Linked DNA regions of Bombyx mori. The protein of the gene in region 3 interacts with the protein of the main gene of each other region in a pairwise test. Links are inferred from orthologs where the notes say so. Each region holds a gene or a part of one and is shown on either strand. Other genes may lie near its edges.

The links.
Region 1: the proteins of transcription initiation factor IIA subunit 1 (region 3) and deformed epidermal autoregulatory factor 1 interact in a two-hybrid assay, tested with the Drosophila melanogaster proteins (2 studies listed by BioGRID). The link is inferred for Bombyx mori from reciprocal best matches to the Drosophila melanogaster genes TfIIA-L and Deaf1.
Region 2: the proteins of transcription initiation factor IIA subunit 1 (region 3) and histone H4 transcription factor interact in a two-hybrid assay, tested with the Drosophila melanogaster proteins (2 studies listed by BioGRID). The link is inferred for Bombyx mori from reciprocal best matches to the Drosophila melanogaster genes TfIIA-L and Hinfp.

The regions. Positions count from the first base shown.
Region 1 is NC_085107.1:2,583,274-2,586,810, reverse strand, and holds the start of deformed epidermal autoregulatory factor 1, read left to right. Parts: upstream 1-737; 5' UTR 738-1,360; coding exon 1,361-2,072; intron 2,073-2,197; coding exon 2,198-2,437; intron 2,438-3,537. UniProt on the Drosophila melanogaster protein: Transcription factor that binds the homeotic Deformed (Dfd) response element. High affinity binding sites contain at least 1 TTCG motif surrounded by additional TCG sequences.
Region 2 is NC_085127.1:12,664,295-12,668,112, forward strand, and holds the start of histone H4 transcription factor, read left to right. Parts: upstream 1-966; 5' UTR 967-1,170; coding exon 1,171-1,419; intron 1,420-2,211; coding exon 2,212-2,359; intron 2,360-3,167; coding exon 3,168-3,409; intron 3,410-3,818.
Region 3 is NC_085117.1:13,411,502-13,415,097, forward strand, and holds transcription initiation factor IIA subunit 1, read left to right. Parts: upstream 1-849; 5' UTR 850-1,371; coding exon 1,372-2,340; 3' UTR 2,341-2,853; downstream 2,854-3,596. UniProt on the Drosophila melanogaster protein: TFIIA is a component of the transcription machinery of RNA polymerase II and plays an important role in transcriptional activation. TFIIA in a complex with TBP mediates transcriptional activity.

The DNA.
Region 1 (3,537 bases), on a different chromosome or scaffold from region 3:
TACAACAAGTACAAGTACAAGTGCAAGTTTGACCTTTCCTAGAAGTATTTTAATATGACACTGTTCAACATAGTTGCTTGAATGTAATATTAAATTATCATTTTCAGCGTGACACCAGGTAATCGCTTCTTTTCCAATGTACTATCATATAAACTGATAGAGTGGAATGCATTCCTATTCCCCGAAACCAAGCCACTGCCTTTAACCAAGAAATCTACAGATCACGTATGTGTACGTGATTATATCTGCAAATCAGTTTTTCCTTTTCCCTTCAACCATTATTTAGTTTTGAAAAAGCCTGAGCTTTAATTTGCGTTTGTGGTATTTCCTTAGCCCTTTTCTAAAATCTTCTTCTTTAACCGTGGTTCAAGCCATAACGGCAATCAAAGGTGCTATACGCCCTCTCATTCACGACCACGTGACTTATATTATCACGTACTCTTTATTGTAATTTTATTTCTAAATACGTAAACAAAAAACACTCAATATTACTCTTACCATACCAAGAATGTGCTTCAATCATCATCACCAACGATCATCGTATCATATGATAAGGTATCAATATTGATACCTTTATAATTAAGCAACATATGTCTCAAAAACTATTAATAGGTATTGTGCATATTGAAATATTGTCAAGTAACCTGTTGGTGTATGACTGGCTTTATGTCTCTTAATTTAAATATAGTTTTTTTCTGTATATACCTATCTACGTTATGAAAAGTTATATTTATAAATTTAAGGCAGGATTGATTTATTATCAAATAGGAACATCAACTAAAATGCTATTTACGCAATAAGATAAATTCAAGTGAAGTATGTACACAGTTTCAATTTTAGAATACGAAAATACACTAATGCAAATTTCTACTTTGTTGATAATATAAATGTGTTCTATCGTACATATTGAATTTTCAATGTCTGTTTACGAGTTTTTTTACTGGAAATTACAAATATGATACTTATTTACATCAAATTATTTAATCTAATACTTATTATTGTTTATTGCTCCTTTGAACCACTACAGAGGAAGACTATATGCATCATGTAACCTTCACAATGATAATATTTCACATTAAGTTTAAAAGAAAATAGATAATTTAATTAGTATGTAATATTATGAGATTATTAGCATTTCGGATGATATTTGATAAATTTTAAATTTGCCGCTTTTACTTAGTTACGAGAAGTTACGTGAAATGAAATGTTTCTATTTCGATTTAATTATGGCGGACGATGATTGAACGATAGCATATCTTTTATTTAGTAGGAACGAATTAAAGTAAATAAACGTTAATGTAATTGTCGGAAACAGTCCAACACCGTGAAGGTGTAGTGCCGGGGTGGGCGGATACAAGATATGGCCGAGAATAGAAGTTCGGACAACGTCGTCATGCCGGACATTACCGAAGTATCCGAAGCCGATCCATTGTCGACGGCGACCGAGCACGACAACGAGCGGGTGGAGGGCACGTCTGTGTTGTCTACCACCATCAAAAACACCCGGCTGTCCAATGATTCTAACGGAGTTGTGACTGTACCAGTCTCGTTGCCAGTTGGGACGCTCATCGCGGGTACCACCTTCAACGTAATCACGTCAGACCATTTGCCGCATTTCAAGCCAATGATCTGCGTTGACAATGGTTTTATTTCGGGTGGGCCAGTGAGCGATGAGTTAAAAGCAACACACATCGTCATCCAGAACCCTCCTTCTCCTACTCGAACTAATTGCGAGGATGTGGTGGTAGCTGCGCCTGCGCCGCGATCGATGAGTGCACGATCATGGACGGAGACTGCGAACATGCCAGTGCTGCCGGTACGCTGTAAAAATACATCAGCAGAGCTCCACAAAAATAAATTCGGTTCAGGGGGCAGAGGCAGGTGTATCAAATACGGCATAGAGTGGTACACTCCTAGTGAGTTCGAAGCTCTATGTGGCAGAGCCTCTAGCAAAGATTGGAAGAGGTCTATAAGGTTTGGTGGAAGAAGTATTCAAGCTCTCATTGATGAGGGTATTTTGACTCCACATGCTACAAGCTGCACTTGCGGAGCTTGCTGTGATGATAAATCTGGTAAGTAATGCATGTTAAGTATGCTACAATTGAATATATTTTGAATGCTAAATTGCTGTGAATTTTTAAGCAGTAGTTTTATTAGTATTATTGTGATTATAAACCTGTAATAATGAAATCTACAGCCATGGGACCAGTGAGACTATTCACTCCATATAAAAGAAAGCGAAAGGAAGAAAGAAGTGAGAAGAAACCAAAAATTAAAAGAGAAAGCAGCATTGGAGAGAGTGAAGTGGATAACATACACCAGAGCAGTGAGAATAGTCACTCAAAAGAAGCTTGGCAGAGCATCGCTGAGGGTTTGGAAACTACTACCGATTACCAGATACTGGGGAACCCTGAAATCAAGACTGACCCCCCTCCAAGTAAATATTTTTATATCATAAATATTTATATGTTGAATTACTAGCCTTTGCTGGCTATTACAGCATTCAAAATAAGATTAGAAAACAAAAAAGCTAACTAGGATATTTTTCATTCTTTTGTATTAGAGCACATATTAGATCTTAGCGGCATGGGTGACATTAATTTAGATCTCTTTACTGTGACAAATATTTTGCAATAACTTTGCTAAATGTTGCAAATTGCGACCACTTGCGAATGGAAATTATTATTATAACATTAAATATTTTACTGATTAGTGACTGTATAAAATAAAATTTTAAATGAAATTAACAATTTACAAATTGGATGACAAATTTACAATTGGATGCTCAAATGGAGCATGCATTATGTATGTACTGGTTTTGATGTTACTAAGACAATTTATGCCTCATTTAAATGATAATAATAGTCAATTTAAACATTAATGCAAAAAATTGATATTTACGTATTTTTTCTCAGAAGTCTAGAGTTAGGTGTCTCTATGTTGTTTAAATTGATTGACAATTTAATGTAGATTTTTTGAATAAACAGCTTGCGTAAAGTTCAAGAATTTACATTGTTTTCTGTAGGCTATCAAAAATACAAGCTAAGCTATCATTAATTAAAATTCTGTTTGCAATGCAAAGAAATGGCAATGGCAACCATATACTTAAGCGAATTTTAAAAACAATTTTAACAAGAATTTTGTTTATCAACTATGGCATTTAGTAGATGATCATACCACTTAGATCATCTTAAAAGCTCTGTATAACCTAGTTATACACTACTGCTGCACCATCTCAACATTCAGCATGTGTGTGCCAAGCGTAATGCCATTATATCATCCTCTTATTGCTCATGCCTAACTTTTAAATATTTTCTCCTCCATCTGCCAAGAGGACTTCTTTGTAATAATAGTTCATTATCGGTCAAGTGGCCAGTGATTTCTTTTGTTGTTATTATCCTACTGTTATTTAACTTAACTACTGTTATGCTGGCAGGTAATTTGAGTTTTATTTATATTAGGGTCAGTGTCTATTGACTTAGGTAAATTAATAAAAAATTGTTGCAATAGAGATGTCATTCCTGTAAATATGATGAG
Region 2 (3,818 bases), on a different chromosome or scaffold from region 3:
TGAGCACCTAGTGAGGAAAATGAAAAGGCACTGAAGGAGCTTGGCCCGACAAACGTCGTTTAACGTACCCACATACTTTTCCCATCCAAAAATTTTGAGTGGAATTAAGATGACATGACATAAATCATGAGCCAACTGTGGGGGCAAAGCTGTATAATTAATAGATGGGCTACATTTGATTATGTTTTGTTTGAATTTGTGTAAAGTTTGGCCTAGTTTTTTCATAATTTTTTTGTGAATTAAAATATTCCAATAAATTTTTGTTGTATTGTTTGTATCGATAAAATTGTAATATTGTTCCAATAAAATTTTATGTAGTAAAATGTCGAGTGTGGTTTTTTCCAAATTTATTAAGAAAGCTGGTATCACTGATTCTAGATTTTATTTTTGTTAGACTTTTTGGCGGAAACGCGAGGAGTGAAGTTGTGTGTTTTGTTTTAATTTGTCTATTTTGTGTTTCTTCAGGTTTAAATGTCTAGTAACGGTGGTTTATCAACTGTTTAGTATCTGTAAAAGTGCACAAATGTGGGAAAATGTCATCCTATATCATATCACCTCATCTCATTTCATTTCATTTAATTTCATGCCATGCCATGCCATGTTTCATAATAAATTAATCAGCTTCATTTCATAATACCATATTTCATATTTAAAAAAAAAAATTTAAGGTTTCCATTTAGAAGAATAAAACTACTACTACTACCTTAAATATAATAAGTGTATAATCTATGACTGCCATTTCTATGATTTCTACTTGTAATCTTAGTAAATGACCACCATTTTACTGAGATTAGATTTCATCTCATATCATCTCATTTAATTTCATCCTAGTTGATTAATGTCTCAAATTAATCATTTTCATCATTTCACTCCATAATAACATTTTTCATAAAATTAAGAATATAGATTAAAATAAGACATGACTTAAAGATCTCAGTTACCAGGTCATAAAATCTCTTAAAAAAAATGATTTCTACTTGTGGTTTATTTTATATTTCGTGAATACAATTGAATACATATTAATTAATTTTCAACTATTATAGTCCAGCGCTTAAAGAAAGTTGAGTGATTTGGTTGCGAATCCGCATATCTCAATATTATAATGATTATTGCTTACCAACTTCCTTAGGTATCTTTTGAAAATAACGTATATTGGAGTAAATAATCATCATGTCAGTTAAAAAAAATGTGGAAATTCAACACAAAATTAAATTAAACCCTAAACTCGCAAGTTCTTTGCGGTGTATGCAATGGTTAAAGCATCAGAACAGTCCATCAAACAAGAAGGTTTTACAGTCAAAGAATGATGTCCTATTCGTTCAGACGAATAAATTTGAAAAACCCGAATTTTCAAATCTGGACACAGAAGATACCATTCCAGACGGTGTTAACGAATCTGTCATTAAACCAAAGACTGTGGTGAGCTTCATTTATTATGCACCGAAATGCTATGAAAAATATTAATTGAATATAAAGTTTGCATCGTTTTCTATTGAAACTAGGTGCATGGAGAAAATTTTAATCTCCCTATTTTGTGTGCTTTATTTATTTTGTTGCCTCTATGGGTGGCAGAGCTCACAGCCCACCTGCTGTTAAGTGGTTACTGGAGCCTATAGACATCTACAACGTAAATGCGCCACGCACTTTGAGATATAAGTTCTAAGGTCTCAGTATAGTTACAACGGCAGCCCCACCCTTCAATTCGAAACGCATTACTGCTTCACGGCAGAAATAGGCAGGGTGGTGGTACCTACCTGTGCGGACTCAAAAGAGGTCCTACCACCAGTAAAAAAATTCTGTACCATGGGAAGTGCTTTGAAAAATAGTTGAAAATAACATCATCGCCATTTTATCACTGCATTGCTCGCCTACATGCTCTGTAAGACAGCTTACTGTCTTCAGATTTTCTACATCACAACCTTTGAAAACTTTTCTTGGGTTGTTGTGTTAAAATTGGATTGTGTTTTTATTGCTTAGTAAGTTGAATGAGCTAACAGTGGTGTTAAGTGGTTACTAAAGCCTATAGATAGCAGCAACATAAATGCCCCTAACCACCTTTTGACATGAGTCCTAAGTCTCAGTTCTAAATACAATGGCTGCTTCACACTTCAAACTGTAACTCTATTTGCTTCATACTATTGCTTTACTTATGAAAAGTATAAATAAAGATTCATTTCAATTTTTTTATTATTTGAAAATTATTTGTTTCAGACTACAAAATTTTTACGAATTTCCAAACTGAGCTTGGCTTGTGAGTGGCAGGGATGCAAATTATTAACCAATAATTATGAATCATATCAGAAACACGTCATCGCTCATTTCTCTGATGTGATTCAAATAATAGATAAGGAAGAAACTGGTTAGTCAAAGTGGTATGATTGATAAGTGTAGTTTTTAGCTGAATTAAGCAGTTACTCAAAAGTGGAGCCCATAAGATGCCAAAACATGTGTACTGTGGCCACCTTGAGATATAAGAATGAAGTCTCAATTATCTTCAAGTGGAATGCATGTATGCTCTATGGCAAAATCGTAATACCTACTGGTGGACTAAAATTATGATACAAAGATATAGATGAGTCGACTATTATCAAAGCCGGCAATGTGACTTTGGACAATTATTGGTAAATCAGAAAGACGAATTATTGACTTTGTATTCCATTGGCAGTCACTAAACTCTTCTGAACGACATCTTAGATAAATAACAGGTTAAGTATTAACCTTTATTTAATGCAGGTTTTGAACCGTATTCTTTGAAGGAGACGATTATATTCAAATCAATCTGAATTGACATATCAATAACATTTATTTGTCCAAATGCACAGATTGCCACGTTTGATAATAGACGACTCAGATGTTGAATGGGCTTGACTCCCATATGCCACTTGAAAGTCCTTATTTATGCATGTTTCAGAGAGCAAGCAATTCTAGATAGGGCAAAAAAAAAGGTTACACCTAACTGCTATATCTAGTTACATCAGACTTCTTATTAAATTTTGTAATTTAGTTTTTTTTTTATATGAATTTTGTTCACTCAATTGTTGTCTGGAATTGGTAGCTCCTCCAGACAACGGTCAAATGTTTTGCATTTGTGTTTATATTGGTATACAATAAAGCATACTCGATTCTTAATAAGACTTAATAACCATATTGTTGTGTTTATATTTCAGTAATGTATTCTTGTCTTTGGGATGTTTGTGGTCACAAAACAAAGGATTATAATGAGATGTTTCGGCATTTAAATTACCATGCTTATCATGGGAAGTTGCTGGCGATCGGCCTCAATGGTAGAGCTACATTAAAACTGGAAAGATGCAAGAAGAACTCCACTAAAAGAAATCAGTTACCTAATTTACCTAATGAACATATTTGCATGTGGACTGACTGCAATAGAAAGTTTAACTCAATACAGGTGTGTTACGAAAATATAACAAAAATAATGGTTTGATTAACAAGGACAGGCTTGCACTGGTGTTAAGTGAGTACTGGGGCTCATGAAACCCGTAGTGATAATCTGTACTTTAAGGCAGTCTTGATTTAATTTAAATAATACCTATCAAATTCATATAACCCATACACACACAGCCCACTGAGTTTCTCGCTGGGTCTTGTCAGTGGGTCGCGTTTCCGATCCGGTGGTAGATTCTGCGAAGCACTGCTCTTGATAGGGTCAGTGTTAGCATCACTCCGGTCTGATCCCGTGAGCTTACCCACTAGTTAAAGTTACGCTGAAATAGCCTCTCAAGGCTATCAGATTAAGTAGGAAAAAAAAACAAGGTTATGCTGAAATAGCCTCTCAAGGCTATCAGATTAGGTAGGAA
Region 3 (3,596 bases):
ACTGAAAAAACCGTGTTTCATTCGGCATTGGTATCGATTTTGTTCGTTACAATATTTACTAAAAGAAAATTGAGGTAAATGAGTACTGTAACCCTCATATTTTGATATTTATAAATTTTTAATATTATATTGAAGTCAGAATATATAAGAATGTTCCATTAGAATACCTTCTTACCAATTGTCGTGCTTTAAAAATCTGTCACAGAAAGAAATGTATTGAGTCAAATGAATTGATGATGATTGATGTCAAATTAATAACGAAAGCATATTATTATACACTACCTTTTCAACTATATAAGTTTAAGCCCCTATTTTAAATATAAAAACTTCAACGTCATTCGTTACAAAAAAAATGAAAAGCTTCGACAAAGACGAAAAGTTCTTTCCAACATTTGGATTTCCCGCCACAAAAATACTAAAATTCAATTATTGTCTATGCCACCAATTTTAATCAACATTTTTTACAACCACTGAAAAACTGAAAAATCTATCTAAAATAACAATTAAGTTTATAGTTACTCTTGTTTCATAAACGTCCTATTATGCGGTTTTATTAAGAATGAAGTCTTTAAGTTTTCATAGTACAAGATAAAATTGAGTGTTGCGTTGCTTGTACTCAACAGTGCAATAGTTTAATATAAATAAAATATAAATATTATTTAGTCAATATTATTTAACAATGGTTTAAGTAGAAATGAATTTCATTAAAATTGGCTTGTAACGAATTTTTTTGAATGAATACCGTTTTTTGTGAAAATTCTATATTTTTAAATTTCATCATTCAATGTTATAACAATAAATTTTAGATATGCCAATTTTGTTTTGAAATTTTAAAGTGGTGGCTCTTTCCTTTCAAACCGTAAAATCAATTTAAAGGCAACTACCCAAGGCGCAAACTCACCAATACGTAATCAACCGGGGCGCGGTGCGGGGCGGTGCTATTTCTCGTACTCATAACGCATGCGCCATCTTTGTCGTCGTTCAATGTCGGAATCAACGAACCATAGACAATTATTTCTTTAAAGGCTACGAAATATTTCCTCGGTTTGTAGGTTATGTTTGAGTGATCAATTGTCAAAATTTTTATGGTGAATTTATAAATTTGTCTCTCTTTATGTAAATGGACGTCATAAAAGTTAAAATAAGCTACTTTAGCCACATATTATCTTAAATATATAAAATTGGTCATCAACATTAGTGAATTAACAAACTGTGTGAATTCCAGAAATTTGACATTGAAATGTTGCGATGTGAACTCAGAAGACAAATAATCGGCTCTAAACTAAACTAAACAGATTTAGAAACAAGAATATCTAGTTCTGTGAACATTTTACACTGTTAAACAATTTTCAACTACAGCTCGATTGCAAAATGACAACGAGTCAGCTCGCAGTATTGAAACTTTACAACATAGTGGTAGACGACGTGATATCCGGAGTGAGAAATTCTTTCTTAGATGACGGTGTAGACGAACAAGTGTTACAAGAACTAAAACAACTATGGAAGACAAAGCTTCAAGCCAGTGGAGCCACGGACCCGTTACAACCTGAGCCGATGCTGCCACCTCCTCCAGTGTTACAGAATTTCCAAAAAGTAAATGGTAGTAATGTAGTGCATAAAAGAACTGACATGGGACATACTTCGGGGCAACAAGAACATAGTGCACCAGCATCTAGTGTAGCTGGAACGCATACTCATCATATTCTAGACCCTAATAATAAAGTGCCAGTTCAGCTTACATTACCTGCTCAACCTGGAGTTCCAGGGTCCCAGCCTCGTTCATTTACCATTCAAATTCCAGCATCAGCTCTGAACGGCAACAAACTGCATCAGGTCTTAACAGGTCCTATAATAAATGCTACCATTAGCCTTCCACAACCTCTAGCTGCTACTTTACTGCAACAACATATCAACTCGGCTTTAGCAGGACAAAAAAGTGATTTTGATAGCGGCGGAGGCGGCCGCAGTGGAACTGCTCCTTTCTCTTTAGATGGTGCTTTGGACTCTTCTGATGATGATGGCTCAAACGTAGGTGATGGTTCAGAAGACGGTGCAGCAGATGATGATGATGATGACGATTCTCCCGAAGAGCGGGCAGAAGAAGAAGAAGAAGAACAAAATGAAAGTGGTGGTGCTGAAGAAGAACCCCTAAATTCCGGTGATGATGTATCTGATGAGGAGCCAGGGGACATGTTTGATACTGATAATGTAGTTGTTTGCCAATATGATAAAATTACACGCAGTCGCAATAGGTGGAAGTTCTATCTCAAAGATGGAATCATGAATCTAGCTGGAAAGGATTATGTATTCCAAAAGGCTAATGGTGATGCGGAATGGTGATTATAGACAGTGTGTATTTTATAGAAAATTATTTGTTATATCTCGGAATTAGGGCTTAAGGTCTCATAATTATTATTTCGTTATTTCGACATGTAATTTGATGTCTGTATGGCAGATATCTGTGTAACAAGATTACGATAAGATTGTTAAACAAATTATGAAAAAAAAAAAACAATCTTTAGTAGGTAGATTTGAAGTTTTCTAAGACACTAGTATTACCAATAGTAAAAAACTCTACCAAGCTCCTTCAGTCTCACTTCCCATTAGTGTGTTTTTTGTACACTACTGAGACTACTACTTACTAATATAATTACAAAAAAAAACACAAAAAAAAATCTAAATGAAAGATATTTATTTGACTTTGTGCTTCTAATATCGAGATACATATCTTGACTTATTGGGTATTAATAATGTACAATACAAAAGAAGTTTGTGAATAATTTTGTTATCTCTTAAGTTGATGCTCTTTAATTTAAATGCCACTATTAAAATTACAATAAATGTGACACATGACCCATGTTTTTTTTATAATATTGAAAATGTCCTTAATTTCATTTGTTTAAACAAAAAATATAATGCATAAATAAACAACTTTTAAATTTAATAAAAATGAGTTAAATTTCCTCTTTAAAAATGAAAAAAATATTTATTACAGAGTATGTAAGATCAAAGATAATTTAAATATCAAACAAATAGTCCTTATTAGAAGCAAACAATTAATTTGGTTTTTTTTTAAATTTCTACATCTCAACAATGGGCAAGGACTGCAAGGGCATGATACTTTAAAATGTAATTATTTCTAATATAATAATATTATAGATAACGTTTAGGGGGTTTTATTTTAATAACGAATTAAATTGCACTCTTAATATTAAGACTTAAAAGGAAAAATAACTACACACAAACTCATATGAAAGCTATTTTTACAGAAGGAGAGTCATCATGTTTCTAATGTAAAAAAAATCAGTTAGGCTGCTTTAAAAAAGTATGGTAAATTTCAAAACAGAGTGCACTTGTCCACAATGATCAACCTATTATTTTTATTATTCACATTAGAATATTGTTTTTTTTTCTTCATTATTTCACTGGCTTAGTAATCTATCCATGTATTTTAAAGCAGATGTTTGAGTTTTTTTTTATTGCTTTGATGAATGGACGAGCTCACAGCCCACTTGGTGTTAAGTGGTTACTGGAGCCCATAAACATCTACAACGTAAATGCGCCACCCACCTCGAGATACAAGTTCTAAGATCTCA